Linked DNA regions of Sus scrofa. The protein of the gene in region 3 purifies or fractionates together with the protein of the main gene of each other region. This does not show direct contact. Links are inferred from orthologs where the notes say so. Each region holds a gene or a part of one and is shown on either strand. Other genes may lie near its edges. The genes, in order: ATRIP, CDC45, RPA2, TOP3A and RAD52.

Region 1 (4,171 bases), on a different chromosome or scaffold from region 3:
CCCAGAAGTCCCCTCTAACACCTTCCCTCTTAGCCAGAGATAACTTCTGCCTAGCACTTGTGTGACCTCCATTTTAGTGTCATATTCTTGTCTGAGGAGTAGTCTTTTTTTTTTTTTTTTTTTTAAGGGTAGCACTCGTGGCATATGGAGGTTCCCAGGCTAGGCATCAAATTGAATCTGTAGCCACTGGCCTACACCACAGCCACAGCAACTCATGATCTAAGCCGTGTCTGCGACCTACACCACAGTCCACAGCAACACCAGATCCTTAACCCACTGAGTGGGGCCAGAGGTCAAACCTGCGTCCTCATAGATACTAGTCAGGTTCATTTCTGCTGAGCCATGACAGGAAGTCCTTGTTTGAGTAGTCTTGTGTGCCATCCTCCTTGCTAACTCTTGATAAAACTCCCACTGAACCTGTAGGACAGCCCAGGTAACACTTAAGGGGGCCTGCCTTGAACTGAGTCTCATGCATTTCTTTTTTGTCTTCTTAGGGCTGCACCCCCGGCATATGGAAATTCCTAGGGTAGGGGTGAATCCGAGCTGTAGCTGCCAGCTTATGCCACAGCCAAAGCAATGCTGGATCCTTAAGCCACTGAGTGAGGCCAGGGATTGAACCCTCATCCTCATGGATACTAGTCGGGTTCATTACCGCTGAGCCACAATGGGAATTCCCTCATGCATTTCTATATGACCAAGCACTTGGGACAAAAACACCTAAGAGCTCTCTGAGAAATGAATGAATGAATATTAACAGCCTGAGCTGTTAGTTCCCACCCCCTCCAACACAGACACACTCTTCTCAGGATCATTCCTTTACTCCTTTTTTTCTATTGACCTACCTCAAATGCACACATTCAAAACATTTACTGTTCTCAAAAAGATGTGTGCTCACAACAGCGCTGTTCATACTCCTAGCCCAGCCCCCCTCTCCAAGACTCCTCCCCAAGAAAGCCTCGAGGTATATGTGAAGTGGTTCAGGCTGGAGGACAGTCAGGTCACAAGGACCCTGAATGTGAATGCTGCCTGCCTCGATTCACGCGTGTGAATGTCCGGGCATGAATTTGTGAATATCAGGAGGGCGAACTCCTCCAGCACAGCAAACCCTATGGGATGTCAAGAAGCTGGCACAGAGCCACCCCGGCGGTGGGGCTGGTGAGTCACCCCAGGTTAACTTGGCTCACATTGCACAAAGCACCCGCCAGGCCCACTGAGTCCTAACCGCCAGTACCTGAGCAGCAAACAGGGTGGGGCCCAGAGGCGGAGAACAAATAGGCAGACACTCAGTTGAGCGCAGTAGCGCGCTCAGATTATGTCATCCCTCCGCGCCTAAGAACTGGCAGCTGATTGGCCCCTTGGCTCCGGGGCGTGGCACAGCGGCTGAGGCAAGTGGCGGCGCGCGAGCGGTTGGTCCCCGCTCCTGGATAGAGGCCGGACTCCGTTCCTTCGGAGACTGGCCGGCGGCAGGCATGGCTGGAATACCCACGCCAGGCAGCAGGAGGCGAAGCGGACCCCCGGCACCCAATCCTGGCCCGCCGCCCAGCCCCGGGCACCCTCCGAGCAAGCGGGCCCGGGGCTTCCCAGCGGCCGCCGCTCCTGACCCCGAAGACCCTTTCGGCGCCCATGGGGATTTCACCGCCGACGACCTGGAGGAGCTGGACACCCTCGCGTCACAGGCCCTGAGCCAGTGCCCGACCACGGGTCGGGACATGTCCAGTGAGTGCGCCTCGGGGCCTTTTCCCCCGAGGATAATGCAGCCCTTGCCAGACCCCCTAGAAGACTGGGGAATCCCTCAGCGACCGCTGCCACGGTGTCTTGCACCCACATTACTCCTTCACCTTTTAAAAATACAGGAACAGCTTGATTTAAGCAGCGGTTGTGCCCGAAAAGGTCCTTTGATTTGGGGGAGAAATATATCAGGAATGTCAGACAGCCTATTTAAAATATAGAAAGCTAGGTTGACATTTTACTTTAGTTCCTATAGTTTGGACCACTAGGATCCTTGGAACATGATTACCACTGCCATCAGAACCCCCACCATTACTACCTACACATGAGGACCCATTCTTAGGACAGGTTTGAGTGGCTTTAGAACTAATGTCACGGCCAAAGCAATGCTGGATCCTTAAGCCACTGAGTGAGGCCAGGGATTGAACTCTCATCCTCATGGATACTAGTTGGGTTCGTTACGGCTGAGCCACAACTGGAATTCCCTCACGCATTTCTATGTGACGAAGCACTTGGGACAAAAACACCTAAGAGCTCTCTGAGAAATGAATGAATGAATGAGCCTGAGCTGTTAGTTCCCACCCCTTCTAACATGGGTCCTTTTCCCTTTTCCCATAAGGATAAGATGGGCTTGGAAGTAGCAAGAGGTAGAAGAGACATTCTTTTATACAACCAATAAATTGTATGAGGTGCCAAACTTTAAGAGCTGCAGACACTTAACAGTGAACAAAAGACAGAAGCCCCTTCCTTCATGGAGCTTACATTCTAGGTGGGAAATAAGTGAAGGCTTGTGGGACTTCACTGACTTCGCTTCATTCCTTGAATTCTCCCTGCTCCTTACCATATAGAAACTGCACATTGCTGTTTCTTATGCATTGAGTATTCTTTCCATCCATTCCCCATCCCCACTCACCTGCTTAATTCCTGCTTGTTCTTCAGCTCTCAGTTCAGTTATCACTTCCCTACAGAAGCACTCCAATCATTCACTTGGATCAAATCTCCTAGTATGGGCTTTCCTATATTTGTTCTTTTCTGCAGCTCTTATAACAATTGTGATTTTACATTTATTCGTGTATTTTTTACTGCCATGTAAGCTGCATGAGTGTAAGGACTGTATCCATTTTGCTCACCACTGTACCTTTCTTTTGAGGCTAAATTGTGCCTGGCATATTGTAGGTCCTCAGTAAATATTGTTGATAATAGACCTCTGAGTTCTGATCAGTGAGACCAGAGCACCTTTCAACTTTAGGTAAGACTCTTAAAAAGGGGTGGGAAGGAATTCCTGCTGTGGCGCAGTGTGTTAAGAATCCGACTGCAGTGGCTTAGGTTGCATCCCTGGCCAGGCACAGTGGGTTAAGGATTTGGAATTGCCACAGCTGTGCCATAGGCAGTCAGTCCCTGGACTGGGAACTTCCATGTGCCACCAGTGTGGCCATAAGTGGAAAAAAAAAAATTGGATGGGGAATGGGGAGAGGTTGGCAGGATCTGTTCTTTCATAAGGATTCAATTATGTTCTTATGTTGGACAATACCTATATTGCTTACTATATCTTTCTCTAATTTGCTTTCCAAAGTGATTATTTTCAGCATTGTCTGGTAAAAATGGAAAAATATTAGGTCCTGAAAAGTACATGGGAACTGTTTTTTACAGATGTTCAAAAGGTCCCCAGATTAGATGGAATGCCAAAAAATCCTACAGGGAAAAAGAGAGAAAGTGCTCCAGTTAAAGATAATTTTGAATTAGAGGTACTTCAGTTACAATACAAAGAACTTAAAGAAAAGGTAAGTGATTTAACTTGTGTTTTTTATAGTTAATTAATTCACGTATGCATATGTTATTAAAATATATATATATATATATATATAAGTTTAAGAGCCCAGACATTCCTACCATGGCATGGCAGTTAAGTATCTGGTATTGTCTTTGCAGTGGCATGGGTTCCATCCAGTGTGGCCACAGTGGCACCACAGGCCACAGCTGTGGCTCAGATTCGATTCCTGGCCTGGGAGCGTCCATATGCCCCGGATGTGACAAAAAGCAAAAAAAGAGTCCAGATTGATCCCCATGAATTGGGAGAAAGCTATGGAAAGAAAGCCAGAAAATTTTGGTGGAACTAAATCCTGAAATTCCTAACAGCCAAAGCAAGAAAGGAAACACTGTAACACTGTATACCATATCAAAAAGAGATACAAACTTGTTATAGCATTGAGATAAATTTATAGCATGTCTTAGTTAAAAAACACATCCTAATGGTTACTATTTTCATTAGCAGTTTTGTAAAAAAGCAGAAGTCCTCCATATGACCCTTTACAGTTCCCTAGAAAAACTAAGAACATAACAGGGAGGGAGTTTCCGTTGTGGTTCAACAGGTTAAGAACCCAGAAAAATGTCCTGAGGATCCCTGGCCTCAGTCAGTGGGTTAAAGATCCGGTGTTGCTGTGCC
Region 2 (3,513 bases), on a different chromosome or scaffold from region 3:
AACTCACAGCAACACTGGATCCTTAACCCACTGAGCAGGTCCAGGGATCGAGCCCAAATCCTTATGGATACTAGTCATGTTCGCTAACCACTGAGCTATGACGGGAACTCCAAGTTGCTTCCCTTTTGTTTCTGAGTTTGTTCCATGGTGTGGACCCACCTCGGTTTGTTTAGCCATATACTCCCTGACGGGCATCTGGGCTATCTCATTTCCGGCTATTGTGAAGAGAGCTGCTATAAACATTTGTGTGCAGGTTTGTGTGAACATGAATCTTCATTTCCCTGGAATGGATGACTAAGAGTGCATTTGTTGGCTTCTGTGGTAGTTAATATGTTCAGTTTTTTAAGAAGCTGCCAAACTTTCCCAGAGTGTCTGTACCATGTTACCTTCTGACCAGCAATCTGTGATGACCCAGTTTCTCCCTGAGGAGTGTGGCTCCTTCTTAGCACTGGGCACCATACCTGCCCTCTGACCCCACCCTGGTGGGAGGTAGGGAGGGGCACTGGGCCTTTGCTGTGGTGGATGGGGTGGGACCATGGTGTTTCTGGTGGTGGTGCAGTTAGAGTTGAGCAGTTATCCTCTAAAAGTTTTCTCTTTCAAGGCCGGTCCTTCCTGGTTCTTTGGCTTTTGTTGGGGATTTTTTCTTCTATCGGTGTTTCTGTGTGGCCAGCTTCTCTGGAATATATGAACAAAAAGGAAAACTCTGGGAACTCCCTACTGTGACATTCCCAGGTCCTGGGACCCTTGGCTGGTCAGCCTTCCTCTCCACCTTTCAGACTCTTTTCTTTTTTTAAATATGCACTACCAGGATTTCTAGGTACATTTAGTGTATGAATAGAGACAAATACATCTACCTATCCTTCTACAAGCAGAAGTCTAGAGACTACAGATTTTAAAACTGCGCCCTCACCTGTGCCTTTATTGTGGGAAGAGAAAGAGGTTGTGCCTGTAAAATTAGAATAGTTGCTGGAAACAGTGGGGTTAGGATGTGAGGAATAGGAGCGCTCTCTTTTTTTTTTTTTTTTTGCTTTTTAGGGCTGCACCTGCAGTATATGGAGGTTCCCAGGCTAGGGGTCGAATTGGAGCTGTAGCTGCCAGCCACAGCCACAGCAATGCAGCTCCGCTGCATCTGTGACCTACACTGCAGCTCATGGCAACACCAGATCCTTAACCCACTGAGCAAGGCCAGGGATCAAACCCACATCCTCATGGATCCTGGTCAGGTTCATTACCGCTGAGCCATGACAGGAACTCCCCGTGAGTTCTTTCTAACATGGTGGGAAAGCGGGGACGTGGCAGCTGTGGGCTTTTTGTGGCTCACATGGTACTGGGACAGTGGATCTGGGGTGTCACCTAAGCAGATGCTGGGGAAGCGTCCAATCCCATCCACAGTGGCCACGGGGCTGAGGGGCCCTGCCGTCCCACCAGGGGCAGGCTGTACCCTCAGTGGCTTCTGACAAATTGGATCCTTCTCAGCCAAACTCCTTGGCTCACCTTTTGTTCTCTTTGTCCTATATCAGGAAATCGTGGAGCGAACCATGAAGAGGAGGCAACGAAGAGAGTGGGAGGCCCGCAGGTGAGGGTCCTTCCATCAGCAGCCCTGCCTGCGGGACAGCTGGGGGTGGGGGGTGGGGTGAGTATCACTGATATGCCTGGCTTTTCCTTGGGGGCTTTGTGCATTTTTTTTTTCCATTTTAGGATAATGTGTTGAGTTTAGAGCCTTTGGGCCAGTGTCTCTAGGACTGAGCATGTGGCCCCTGCATTGGGGAAAAGCTCAGGGACCCTCCATGTCACCTTCATGTCCCATGAGTGATGGGCTGGGCTCAAGAGCTCCCAACACCTGCCATCTGTTAGGGATGACAGCCCTGGTCCCTCGTTTTAATAGTTTTCTAAATCTAGATACTTTTCTTTACAAATTCAATAGATGGAATTGTATGAAACTCCTCATAGAAAAAAAATTGAAAAGAAAACTAAGCTATCCATAGTTCCTCTTCATATTGCAAGTTAAAAAACTCAAGTGCTTTAAATGAAAATGTTGGAGAGGATACTCTAGCTCAAGGTGAACATGCAGCAGTGCGCTTGCTGGGAATTCCCTGCTAATTGCATCCCTATAAGGCCTCGTGGGTGTCTGAGTGTCCAGCCCCTGCCCTGCTGCTCCATCTAAGGGCGTGCCCCTGTCAGCCCCACTTGGGGAGGCTGGTTGTAAAATCATTTGGGGAAGTGCAGGAAAGAAAAGTGAATATAATCCATTTTCACTAATAGGAAGAGGTTCCAGCTTTGGATTGATCTGCCCGGGGTTGTCTGTGCTTGTGCACGTTTTACATCATCACACCTAATTTTGCACTTTTCCACGTAATAGAACCATAGTTCGGAAATCTCCACAGGCCTTTGTAAAGTGCACGGTGCCGAACTGGCCTTCCCCTTCTTTGTGAGCTGGAGGTTGCTTTCAGTGTTCTGCGGTGACTGTCAGGCTGAAGCAAACAACCTTGCACACCGCGAGGCCTGTCTGGCTTGTCCCTTTGAACTGCTGTCTTGCCTTAACTTCTTGTGGGGAGTGGAATCTGGGACTGTGCCATTTTACATCTTTGGTAGCCACACAAGGTTTGTGCCCCGGTCACTCCCTTCCCAATGCTGTACACTTTCAGTCCTTGGAAGAGTCAATAAGTGAAAACAAATGATTTCGTTTGGGTTTCTTTGAGTATCGTCCATTCTAGCATTTTTCCCACTGTTTGTTTTCCTATTCTGCTTCCTGTTGAAGACCTACTTTTGTGTCTTTACAGAAGAGACATCCTTTTTGACTACGAACAGTACGAATACCACGGGACGTCAGTAAGTCCAGATCCCGGGATTCACTGCCATGTCCGGACTCTAGGGGGCACTGTCCTAAAAGAGGAGGAGGAATCAGCAGAGGTTTTAGAGCCCCCGAGGACTGGTTTAAATCCAAGCCTGCAGCTTCCACCCTGTGGCCTGAGGGGAGGATCTGCTCTTAGCCTCTCCTCCTGGGAAAAAGGGAGATAGCAGGCCTCACTTCAAAGGCAGTTGTTGGGATGGCCTCTCACACTCAGAGGTGCTCAGGGAACAGCAGCCACTCTTTCTGTTCATCATCAAAAAACAGAACGAGCCTGCGCTGATTTCTGTGCAAGAAGATGAAACTTGATTTGTGTGTTAGGATTTTCATCAGAAAACCCAGTGGGTTGATTCTTGTGCTGCTGAGCAGAGCTCAGGGCCTTAAGGGGACCTAGAAAGTGGTTCTAGTAAAAATCCTGTATTTAGTCTCAGAATTTGACCTGGGGCCTTGGCCTCTGAGCAGGTACTTCAGAACCCCTTTTGAGATTGGTTTGCCCTTGGCGGGAGGATTCTGAGCTGTAGGTGGGTTCACGGGTGGAAACAGATGCATGGCTGGGAAGCTCTCTTGGAAACCAGTTTCCTTGGAGATGCTGAAGTCAGGCCAGTGTCTCACTGCAGACAGGGCTTTAGGGTCTCCTGGTCGGACGCTGATCTCCTGGTCTCCTT
Region 3 (4,312 bases):
GCAGAAAGGGAATCCAACTAGGAACTATGAGGTTTCGGTTCGATCCCTGGCCTCACTCAGTGCGTTAAGGATCTGGCGTTGCCATGAGCTGTGGTGTAGGTCATGGACATGGCTCGATCTGGCATTGCCGTGGCTGTGGTGTGTAGGCCAGCAGCCACAGCTCCGATTGGACCTTTAGCCTGGGAACATCCATATGCCACAGGTGCGGCCCTAAAAAGACAAAAGACAAAAAAAAAAAAAAAAAAGACAGAGAGAGAGAGAAGAAAGTGTCTGCAGTTTTAGCAAAAGGAAATGCAATGGCCCAGAAACCCAGGGACCATGTCTTCGTTATTTGCCACTGAATCCCAGTGGCCAGCACAAAGCTTGGAACAAGAGATATCAATAAATATTTTTAAATTATAAATGAGGATCTGTTCCTAACAGTGTAGTAGTATTTAGAGCAAAGAACTGACAGACATGTTCCACTCTCCATAGGAGGGACACGGAGTTCCCGTCCTGGAGCAGCAGAAATAAATCCGACTAGGAGCCATGAGGTTGTGGGTTCGATCCCTGGCCTTGCTCAGTGGGTTAAGGATCAGGCGTTGCTGTGAGCTGTGGTGTAGGCTGCAGACGCTCTGATTAGACCCCCTAGCCTGGGAACCTCCACATGCCGCGGGTGCGGCCCTAAAAGGACAAAAGACCACAAAAAAGAAAAGAAAAACGTAAGAGGGACACAACCGTATTACATGAAGAATAGTTGAAGCAACCGAGGATACGGATCCGGACTAGACTGGGGTGGGGACAGAAAGGTTGGGGGGATGTCATCCTCAGATCTTTTGCCATTCTGGGAAAAAGACTGTAGGCTTCTCACAGCTTCTCTGCGGAGAATCAGGACGACGGGATGGCAATACCAGAACTGAACCTGGCTCTTTATGGAAAAGAATACGCAACCCCACGAGGTGCAATGAAATTACTACATTGAGCTCCCCGTATGTGTATATATTGTGCTAATGGCAAGTCCTACTACTATAACGCTTTAGGAGGCATCACTCGATTGGTAAGGTTTTGGACGAAACAAGACACGGAACAAAGGAAGTGATGTAAAGTGTCAGTCAGTTGCCGGGGGTGGGATTAAACGGCCTGAGATGTGGAAGTATCATCCAGATTGGTTCTCATCTTTTACTTTTTGGGCAACCGCCCACAGCATCTCGGGTGAGGGATCCGACTCAAGCCATCTCCGGATCCTTAACCTGCTGGGCCACAAGTGAACTCCTTGATTGGTTATTTTCTTGAGACACTGGCCTATCTTTGCATCTCTCAGGTCTCCCTTCCGCAGCCGCAGCCTATTTTGCCCTAAGTAACGATGGCTGCAGAGGCTTCGGATCTTCCCGGAGCGAAGTGCGCATTCTCCGGAGCTCGGCGCGGGAAGGCGGGAAAAGGCGTGGGATTCTTAAGCATTGATTGGCTGAGGGGAGAAACGCTCTGGACTCTGATTGGCTCCGTCCTTCGCGGGAAGGAGTTTGTGGCTCCAGCGAAAAGTAGATACAGCGCAGCTGCAACAGCGGAGTCCTGAGGGGGTTCGGCTAACCCACCGGACCGGAGCCTTCTGGAGCTCTACACTGAGGGAATAGTGACCAAGATGTGGAATAGTAATGATGAGTGGGGCGCCTGATGAGAATCGCAAGAAGGATTTAGCAAGGGAGGGCCCGGGGAGGCGTGTGGCGGCAGGGGGCGGGCGAGGGCCGGTGATGGGGGCGTGCGGGTCGTAGGGAAGATGGTGGGAAGGTTAGGGAGACTCTGGGAGTGGTTGGGGTGAAGTCTGGGGGGACTTGCGGATTTTTCAGAGGCTTGGAGGGTGGCACAAGTATTAATACTGCTGTTGTTTAAAACCAGGTGGATTTGAAAGCTATAGCAGCTCCTCCTTTGGGGGAGCCGGCGGCTACACACAGTCCCCTGGGGGCTTTGGATCACCGACACCTTCCCAGGCTGAAAAGAAATCTGTAGGTTGCAAGCGCATTTCTTTTTATTTTAACCTCTGCTGAAGCTCCTAACGCATCTGTGAGAAAATTTAGGCGGGGAAGGAAGGGTGGTAAACTGGACGTGCTTGTAAGTTTGAAAAATCAAACGTCTCCTAATTTTGCATACATTGTTTCCTTGGCTTTATTTTGAAAGTTACCAATATAACTAATGAATTAGTCTTGTGGGAAAAACCGAACTTGTATGTGTAGCCTATTTTACATTCTTCACATACTGGAAGTCATTTTTAAATGAAATGTAATGAGGTCATCTGATAAGGTGGAAAGAGCCTGGTCTTTGGAGTCTAGTAGATCTATGTTCCACTATTGCTCTGACACTGCTTGCAGGGTATCATTGGACAATTACAAAACTGGGAATCAGTTTTGCACCCACTAAATGGGATTAATGATACATATCTTACAAGGTTGTTGTGAGATTAATAACATTACATATAGTTATGCCTGCCCCAGAGTTGCTTTCAATAAATGGCCCCAGGGGTAGTTCCCATTCTGGCGCTGCAGAAATGAATCCGACTAGGATCCATGAGGATGCAGGTTCGATCCCTGGCCTCGCTCAGTGGGTTAAGGATCTGATGTTGCTGTGAGCTGTGGTGTAGGCCATCGGCTATAGCTCCGACTTGACCCCTAGCCTGGGAACCTCCATATGCCGTGGGTACGGCCCTAAAAAGCAGAGCAAAAAAAAAAACAGAAAGGAAAAAAAGAAATGTGATCAAGAGCACACTGCTCCTGAGTGGTCGAGCCATAATCTCAGCCCACCAGCTGGCTGCCACCTTTTGTGACATGTGTGCTGGTAGTTGACTGGGCTTACTTTCTACCATCCTGGCAATATTCACCGTTCAAAAGTATGCTTCAGCAGTTAGCCCACTGAGCAAGGCCAGAGATTGAACCTGCGTCCTCATGGATGCTAGTCAGATTCATTAACCACTGAGCCATAACGGGAACTCCTGTAATGCACATTCTTCACTCACTATTTTTTCACTGTCAAAATTTTCGTGCTTCAGGGTCCAGCCTAAATGCTCCCTCTTCTTGAAATTGCCAATAAATTTTTCCAAGATCCCACATTCTATAGTGTTTCAAGATCAGGCTTGTTATTTACATTTGTAGCATGTGTTGAGGGCAAATCCTGTTCCATTTTACTCATCTTTATTTCCCCCAAACAAACCCTGGCCAGTGGGAGACAAACATAAGAGTATACATGGTTAGGCTGCTTCTGGGTGTGATTTAGGTGTCCTCTTCTGCCCGTCACATCCTGTCCCTTTCCTTTAAGATGTCCCGTGTGGCCAGGCCCTTATCCCATTTTCCTCATACTCACATGGGATTGTCAGAACATCTACCTAAAGCTATATACCTCCAACTTTTTGTTATACTTTAACTTAGAAGAGCTTCAGAGTTCTGTCTTTGCTGGCCATTTCCCAAATTCCTTCCAAATACTATCTCTTCTCATCAGTGATGAAAAGCCAGCTCAAGCTTGCCTTCATCCTAAAGCTGGAGTTGCCTTTTCAAAGTCTCTTCCAGAAGCAGGTCATGTTCCTTTGCTGTCCACACTCTGGCTGACTCATTTTGGTGATCCCTAGTATAGCACAAACTTATCCAGTCATCAGGAGCTTTGGAGTCAGACAGACGTGGTTTTGAAATTTAGAATATGGCGTTGGTTAACTATATAACCTTGGTTTTCTTCTCTGTGAAGTAGGGACAATGAGGTTTCTTTTGAAGATTAGTGTTACAATATCCGTAAAGTGCTGGGCATATAGGAGGTGTTAAGGGACAGTAGTTATTATTTTCTTAATTGAATTTATGCATACTTTTTTCAGAGAGCCCGAGCTCAGCACATTGTACCCTGTACCATATCTCAGCTGCTTTCTGCTACTCTGGTTGATGAAGTGTTCAAAATTGGGAATGTTGAGATTTCACAGGTATGTAAAATAATTTGTGGAAGAGTCACTCAATCATATGAAGAATGAAATAAAACTTACTTCATTTAAAAATAGATTCATGTTGCTTTGGTTTCTAAGAAAACCAAACTTATTTTTCTTCTTGTCTAGGTGACTATTGTGGGGATAATCAGACATGCAGAGAAGGCTGCAACCAACATTGTTTACAAAATAGATGACATGACAGCTGCACCCATGGATGTCCGCCAGTGGGTTGACACAGATGTAAGCAGTTGTGTTTGAATCAGGGTGGGGTTACTTTGGGACTTTGGAGATGTTGAACTTTTTTAGTATCACTTTTTTTTTTTTTTGCTTTTCAGGGCCATACCCACAGCATATGGAGGTTCCCAGGCTAGGGGTCCAACC
Region 4 (3,513 bases), on a different chromosome or scaffold from region 3:
CTAGAACAGGGCTGCTCAAATTTTTTGACCCCGAGAGGAGCCACCCCTGGGACACAAGTCTGAGTAAGCCACGTTGGGGGTGCCCTTCCCCGTCTCCACCTGGCAGGGAAATTCGGGGGTGGGTACTTTGGGGCCCAGTTCCAGAGGATGAAGTGCCAAACGTGCAGCGTGTCCCAGGGTTCGCGTGGTGGTCCCCGAGCAAGTTCCCAGGCGGCCGGGTTACGGATGCACGCCCGCAGCCTCGGTCCCGGCCGCCTCTGCCGGGGGCCCTCGTGCCCAGGGCCCAGGAATCTGGCCGCTCCCCGGCTGATTCTTGTCCTGCTCAGCGGAGTCTGAAGACCCCGGGCTGGGGGCTGGCCCTGCCTGCAGGCCCAGAAACCCTTCTTCAGCTCAGCCTGTCGCAAGGATGTGTGACAGTGGCTGGAGGGATGGGGCCGGCGTTCTGAAGATGAGGCGTGTGGCCGTCGTGCCTCTGGCTGTGCCCTCACCCGCCTGCCCACGTGTCAACAGGAGCTGGAGAAGCTGGCTTCGCGCAAGTTGAGAATAAACGCCAAGGAAACCATGAGGATCGCGGAGAAGCTCTACACTCAAGGGTGCGTGTCCGTCCCCGTTTGGGGACAGGCCTTGCCGCGACTTCCTTGAGGCGAGATGGTGTAGAAGGAGAGCCGGGGAGACACAGAGCCCCGCGGTGGAAGACTGGGGATAAACCGTCCTGCGGGCGCCCCGGCAGCGGCTGCCGTGTCCTGGGAGAGCCCACGCCTGCGCAGCCGCCGAGGCCCTCAGCAGAGCAGGTCTCAAGTCGCGTGTTGGCCTCGACTCCTCTTCTGGGACGCGGACAAGCCGTGTCGCAGTCCCTTAACCTGCTAAGAGGGGAGCCTGCAGAGCCCCTCTGGACCCTCAGCGGGCAGGGCCTGGGGTCCTGCCACCCTCAGGGGCTGTCGCTGCCGGCAGACCCTCCCGCCTCGGGTCACGGGCGCCCGAGTCGTCCAGGGACCGCGTGGCCCTCACTGGCTGGAGCAGCCGCCACGCGCCAGAGCTGGCTGTCGAGCGCGTGAGATCTGGGTTGTCAGGGTCGAGAGGTGCGGCGCCTGTGACCGTCCAACAGTGTCGAAGGCCTGTGGGAGAGGGAGGACGCCGGCGTCCCAGTGCTCCGCTGAACGCCCGCCGCGCGTGGGGTCCACGGCGCAGCCTGGCGGCGTCGCGCTTCCTCTGCTCTAAGGAAAGGGCGGGACTCACCCTGGTGCCCGTGCCCACCGACGCGGGGCCGGGGCTGTAGCAGGCGTGCCCTGCCCCGTGCTGCCTGCGCTCATCCCCGACCCCAGGGCGTGTCCCTGCTGCCCCCCGCCCACGGGGGAGCCACAGCGCAGGGCGCTCGCCGTGTGGGTCCCGGTGGGTCACTCGGGCTGCTGTGGGCGGCACCGTGCTCTCCGGCCAGTTGAGCCGTTCTGGACCAGTTTCGCCATTTTCTGTTCTATGCGTTTGGCTCACCCTAGGTACATCAGCTACCCGAGGACGGAAACAAACATCTTCCCCAAAGGCTTGGACCTGGCGGCCCTGGTGGAGCAGCAGACCTCAGACCCGCGCTGGGGGGCCTTTGCCCGCAGCATCCTGGAGCAGGGCGGCCCCACCCCACGCAACGGGAACCAGTCCGACCAGGCCCACCCCCCGATCCACCCCACCAAGTACACCGACAGCCTGCAGGTTGGTTTCCCGGCCGTGCTGCCCGCCGGCCCCGCGCGGAGGTGCCGGGTCTGAAGTGGGTTTGGACCCTCCGAGGACACATTTTGAGATGTGTCCTCCCCTTGGGAAAAGAGACGTCTGGGTCAGGACGTGCTCCCCCAGGAGCTCAGCCTGGCCTCCCTGGAGACTGCACGGTGGGCTCCCCCCCGCCCGAGCCCCGGCCCTCCACACGCCTCCCAAAGTACAGGAGGAGGGTGTCGGGAAGGAAACAGTTGTCTGCAGTCCGGCATCTCCTGCCGAGACCCTCAGCTTTCAGTTAAACCTTAACGTTAAGTGGGTTTCTGACCCGTCTTTCCGTGTGAGCACTTCCCCACGTGCCAAAATGTTTTAAAGCCTGGTATTGAATGATCGCATAGATGGACTGTAACTTACTTTGCCAAATCTGGTTTTGAAAGATTAAGTTGTTTCCAGCTCATTGATACGTAACGTACTAAGGGGTCTCACATTGAATACGTGATACTGTTCGTGTGGCTCCGTTTCCTCTGAAGACGCTCTCAGCGAGTTCCCGTCGTGTCTCAGCGGTTAACAAACCTGACTGGCATCCATGAGGTTGCGGGTTCGATCCCTGGCCTCGCTTCGTGGGTTAAGGATCTGGCGTTGCCATGAGCTGTGGTGTAGGTCACAGACCCAGCTTGGATCCCGCGTTGCTGTGGCTCTGGCTTAGGCCGGCGGCTACAGCTCCGATTGGTCTCCTAGCCTGGGAACCTCCATATGCCGTGGGTGCGGCCGTAAAAAGAAAGAAACAAAACACTCTTAGAAAGAGAGTCGCTGGACGTGAGCCTCCACCCCTCAGCGGTTTTGACAGACAGAGCCGCCGGAGCTCCTCGGTCACCACATCCGTGGAAAGTCACTGTGAGCCCCGTGCCGCGGGCTTGGTCTGAGGCTGCCGCCCGCGTCCTCGCCCTACGTCTCTAGCGTAAGGGGTGTCTCGGTGACCTCTGAGCTCTCAGCCCGTCTTCTGCTTAGACGGCGTCACGTCAGGACTCCCTTCACAGGCGTGAGGGCAGGTGGCCCTGCCTGTCTTTGCCTGGTCGCAGCTGGGAAGGCCGTCAGCCCGCACCGTGAGCGGCAGAGGGTCCCCGACGACAGCCAGGTCGAGCTGCCGGCGGCGCCGAGGCCCTGGCGGGGTGTCCAGGGGCTCAGGCGCCTCTTCTCGCAGGGGGACGAGCAGCGGCTCTACGAGCTCATCGTGCGCCACTTCCTGGCCTGCTGCTCCCGGGACGCGCAGGGCCAGGAGACCACCGTGGAGATAGACATCGCGCAGGAGCGCTTCGTGGCCCACGGCCTGGTGATTCTGGCCCGGAACTACCTGGACGTGTACCCCTACGACCACTGGAGCGACAAGGTGCGGCGTCGCAGGGCCCTGGGCCGGGGAGGGTGCCGTGCGGGGTCTGACCGACGTCGGCTGCCCCCGCAGGTCCTCCCCGGCTACGAGCGAGGCTCCCGCTTTCAGCCCAGCACCGTGGAGATGGTGGACGGGGAGACCAGCCCGCCGCAGCTGCTCACCGAGGCCGACCTCATCGCCCTCATGGAGAAGCACGGCATCGGTCAGTGGCTTGTCAGCATGGGGCCTGGCGGCTCTGGCGCCTTCCCCGCAGCCGTGACGCGGGCGCTGGGTTCAACCCCCGCCCCGGAGCTGCAGGGAGGCTTGGAGCAGTTGGGAGCTCGGGCAGGGTGCAGAGCCTGTGAGAGGAAAAGCACGGTCCAGGTCGCCCGGTCCTTCCTGCCCCGAGCCACTGCCCTGCGGCGTCCCCGCGTGGGCTCGTGCCTCCT
Region 5 (3,490 bases), on a different chromosome or scaffold from region 3:
TCTGGCAAATCTTTTTTTTTTTGCTTTTGAGTGCCGCACCTGAGGCATATGGAGGTTCCCAGGCTAGGGGTCAAATTGGAGCTACAGCTGCCGGCCTACACTACAGCCACAGAAACACAGGCAGGATCTGAGCCACATCTGTGACCTACACCACAGCTCACGGCAATGCCAGATCCTCAACCCACTGAACGAGGCCAGGGATTGAACCCGTGTCCTCATGTTTCTTAGTTGGATTCTTTTCCACTGCGCCACAACGGGAACTCCTGGCAATTCTATAAGCTTTTGTTCATTTGAGTCCACATTCAGTGGGAATAGTAGATAACAGATTTTTTTGAGTCTTTCCCAGAGACTAAAATCAGAGGGCTTATCTCAGACCAAAAATCCAGACAAAAAAGCTGGATTTTTGCCCAGCTTCTTCCTTAGAATCATGAAGATTCATAGAGGACTTGCTGTCATGTTTTAGTTCCTTATAATTCCCCTCAGCACTAGCAGGCTGAAATTAATGTAGGAAAAAAAACAAAAACAAAAAACAAATAATTTACTTTTCTGGGGATGTTTTTCCTAAGAATTAATGTTCTGTATCTTTAGCTTCTGGACCATTCTGGAAGCTCTGGGGGTGAGGGGTGGAAAAGGAGTGTCCTTCAGGACTCCCGCACCCCTGATCAATCATCATGTTGGTTTTATACACTAATTTCTACTTAAGATTTTGTTTGAACAAGGGTTATAGCTTCAAAAAGTAAAAACTTGACGAGATGTCTTATAATAAGCCATTTCTGCTGCTAAAAAGGAAACTTTTGTTGGTGAGAACAAAAATAGAGTTTTCAGACCTGTTTTATATAGGTCTGGGACACAGGGTCCTGCTGGCTATGCTGTGTAATCCCAGGCAGCTCTGCCCCCTGGCCCAGTTCTACTGTCCTGAGACTGTCCCTTCTCTGCAGCAGGACCACTGGCGAAGCACAGCACTCCCGGAATTGCTGTTTCAGAGCCACTCACTAAGACAGCCGTCCTTGCAGGTTAGTAGGTTGAAAGGAACAGCTAGGTACTAGTCAGTAAATGCTATGAAGCGTCTGTAGATTGCTGTGTACTTGGGTAGTCACAAGTACATTTTAAAAGAGGCATTAGGAATTTCCCTTGTGGCACAGCAAGCTAAGGTCCTGTGTTGTCACTGCTATGGCTTGGGTTGCTGCTGTGACGAAGTTTGATCCCTGGCCCAGGAACTTCCATATGCCATGGGTGTGGCCAAAATAAAATGAAGGGCATAAATATCTTAATTTCTATCCGTTTTGTAGAAAGAGGACCCAAAGGGACTGACAGCAGTGCTGACTATAGCACATATTCAGCTCCTGTTGTCTTAACCTAAGAGAGGCTTTGGTCTTTTAGGGGTTGGGGAGAAATTCAAAAGCCGTTATAGGATACTCACGTTATGGGATTTCACATGACCTACTTTCCCAGCATTTCACCGTGAAAACACATTGTTGATGCTAAATTTTCCTATGACCTCTGTCCTTGCAGACAGTCTTGAAATGTGGGACATGGTTCTTGATGTAGCAGACAGTGTGGTCCAGCCCTTGGCTAAACCAGAACCACTGCAGACCCCTGCCACCTCAGTCCCGAAGAACCAGATGGAGACTCAGAACAGGACCCACCAGAATCCACAAGCAAAACCTGAACCCTGGCACTTCCAGACTCACCATCTTAACCAGCACATAGCAGGTAGCAAACTGTTTTAGGAGCAAAAACTGAAGGGAGAACCTGGCTTTTTCTTTGAATTTTAAAGAAGAATGACATTCCATCTAAGATGCCGGAGAAACAGCAGTGTAAGAAATGGAGGGTCATTGGCTTAAGAGCCCAAAGTTTCCCTTGGGGCCTTGACTTGCGGTCTCTTACTAGTGGGATGTGTAAACGTGACTGCAGGAAGAGCTTTCTTGTTAAAAGTTTATTGCAGAGTTCCTGTCATGGTTCAGCAATTAACAAACTCAGACTAGTATCCAAGAGGATGAGTGTTTGATCCCTGGCCTTGCTCAGTGGGTTAAGGATCTGGCATTGCCATGAGATGTGGTGTAGGTGGCAGATGCGCTTGGATCTGGTGTTGCTAGTAGGGGCAGTAGGCTGGCATCTGCAGTTCCCATTCACCCTCTAGCCTGAGACCCTCCGTATGCTGCTGGTGGGGCCCTAAAAAAGAAACACACACAAGAATGTTTGGAGTTACTTTGTGGCTCAGTGGAAACAAATCTGACTGGCATCCATGAGGATGTAGGTTTGATCCCTGGCCTTGCTCAGTGGGTTAAGGATCCAGTGTTGTCATGAGCTGTGGTGTAGGTAGCAGACGAGGCTTGGATCCTGCATTGTGGTGGCTGTGGCGTAGGGTGGTGGCTGTGGCGTAGGCTGGCAGCTGTGGCTCTGATTTGACCCCTAGCCCAGGAACCTCCATATGCCACGGGGATGGCCCTAAAAAAAAAGTTTATTGCAACTTGGTCTAATGTTAATACAGGGACTTTAAAAGTATGGTTGTTAACTAATATGACTCAAATTATTAACTGTCAGTTTATTTTAAAATCATGGCAGCTATTATTTGAATAATTTTCTCTTCCATAGGAGACTGTGATTCCTCTAGGAAGAACCAGGACATGAAGAAAAGGAAATTAGATCCATCTTAACCGAGGCAGGTGACCTCACTGGACTCTGTCACAAAGGGACTTTCAGAAATTATGCTTTGATCATGAAATGATTTATCATTTGTACATAAGTCAAATCAGAGCTAATGAAATCATGAATGTGCTTTACCTCCAGGGATTTACCTTGCTTCTTCCAGAACTTTACCAGATTTGACTGTTGGAAGCTGCTACAGATAAAGCTGGGCAACTGGAAAACAGGCAGTTAAAGAGAGCTTGTCACACAGTCCAGGTTGGGAAGCTCTGCGGAGATTAAACACTCAAGGTTCTTCACTGTTTATTCCTAAGCTATTACATTTAAAAAAAAAAAAAAGACATTCTAGGCGTCACCAGTGGCTACCTTCCTTTAAACAATGTAAGCCTTATTCCCAAGCACCAAACTTGACAGGGGCCCATAGTGCATTTACTGTGAGTGACCTCTGACCTTTCACTGCAGGGCTCCACAAGTGAGGCTAGTCTTCCCATATGAGTCTTTTTTTTTTTTTTTGGTTTTTTGCCATTTCTTGGGCCACTCCCGCAGCATATGGAGGTTCCCAGGCTAGGGGTGTAATCCGAGCTGTAGCTGCCAGCCTACGTCAGAGCCACAGCAATGTGGGATCCGAGCTGCGTCTGCCACCTAACGCCATAGCTCATGGCAACGCTGGATCCTTAACCCACTAAGCAAGGGCAGGGACCGAACCCGCAACCTCATGGTTCCCTAGTCGGATTCGTTAACCACTGCGCCACAACAGGAACTCCCGAGTCTTATTATTATAGGTTCATGATGTCACTATCTGCATTTTTTCCTGATCAAGGAAACAATAAGACCAGAGAAAAGG

What was found.
Region 1: the proteins of RPA2 (region 3) and ATRIP purify together in Homo sapiens (affinity purification with western blotting; 5 studies listed by BioGRID, with this or other methods). This does not show direct contact. The link is inferred for Sus scrofa from reciprocal best matches to the Homo sapiens genes RPA2 and ATRIP.
Region 2: the proteins of RPA2 (region 3) and CDC45 purify together in Homo sapiens (affinity purification with western blotting; 3 studies listed by BioGRID and IntAct, with this or other methods). This does not show direct contact. The link is inferred for Sus scrofa from reciprocal best matches to the Homo sapiens genes RPA2 and CDC45.
Region 4: the proteins of RPA2 (region 3) and TOP3A purify together in Homo sapiens (affinity purification with mass spectrometry; 4 studies listed by BioGRID and IntAct, with this or other methods). This does not show direct contact. The link is inferred for Sus scrofa from reciprocal best matches to the Homo sapiens genes RPA2 and TOP3A.
Region 5: the proteins of RPA2 (region 3) and RAD52 purify together in Homo sapiens (affinity purification with western blotting; 3 studies listed by BioGRID and IntAct, with this or other methods). This does not show direct contact. The link is inferred for Sus scrofa from reciprocal best matches to the Homo sapiens genes RPA2 and RAD52.

Annotation. Positions count from the first base shown.
Region 1 is NC_010455.5:31,158,480-31,162,650, forward strand, and holds the start of ATRIP (ATR-interacting protein), read left to right. Parts: upstream 1-1,369; 5' UTR 1,370-1,469; coding exon 1,470-1,716; intron 1,717-3,378; coding exon 3,379-3,509; intron 3,510-4,171. UniProt on the Homo sapiens protein: Required for checkpoint signaling after DNA damage. Required for ATR expression, possibly by stabilizing the protein.
Region 2 is NC_010456.5:51,139,615-51,143,127, forward strand, and holds part of CDC45 (cell division control protein 45 homolog), read left to right. Parts: intron 1-1,517; coding exon 1,518-1,576; intron 1,577-2,780; coding exon 2,781-2,829; intron 2,830-3,513. UniProt on the Homo sapiens protein: Required for initiation of chromosomal DNA replication. Core component of CDC45-MCM-GINS (CMG) helicase, the molecular machine that unwinds template DNA during replication, and around which the replisome is built.
Region 3 is NC_010448.4:85,043,099-85,047,410, reverse strand, and holds the start of RPA2 (replication protein A 32 kDa subunit), read left to right. Parts: upstream 1-1,511; 5' UTR 1,512-1,618; coding exon 1,619-1,628; intron 1,629-1,872; coding exon 1,873-1,979; intron 1,980-3,826; coding exon 3,827-3,928; intron 3,929-4,057; coding exon 4,058-4,171; intron 4,172-4,312. UniProt on the Homo sapiens protein: As part of the heterotrimeric replication protein A complex (RPA/RP-A), binds and stabilizes single-stranded DNA intermediates that form during DNA replication or upon DNA stress.
Region 4 is NC_010454.4:60,457,680-60,461,192, forward strand, and holds part of TOP3A (DNA topoisomerase 3-alpha), read left to right. Parts: intron 1-510; coding exon 511-593; intron 594-1,493; coding exon 1,494-1,701; intron 1,702-2,899; coding exon 2,900-3,085; intron 3,086-3,157; coding exon 3,158-3,287; intron 3,288-3,513. UniProt on the Homo sapiens protein: Releases the supercoiling and torsional tension of DNA introduced during the DNA replication and transcription by transiently cleaving and rejoining one strand of the DNA duplex.
Region 5 is NC_010447.5:68,143,687-68,147,176, reverse strand, and holds the end of RAD52 (DNA repair protein RAD52 homolog), read left to right. Parts: intron 1-938; coding exon 939-1,013; intron 1,014-1,512; coding exon 1,513-1,713; intron 1,714-2,595; coding exon 2,596-2,657; 3' UTR 2,658-2,981; downstream 2,982-3,490. UniProt on the Homo sapiens protein: Involved in double-stranded break repair. Plays a central role in genetic recombination and DNA repair by promoting the annealing of complementary single-stranded DNA and by stimulation of the RAD51 recombinase.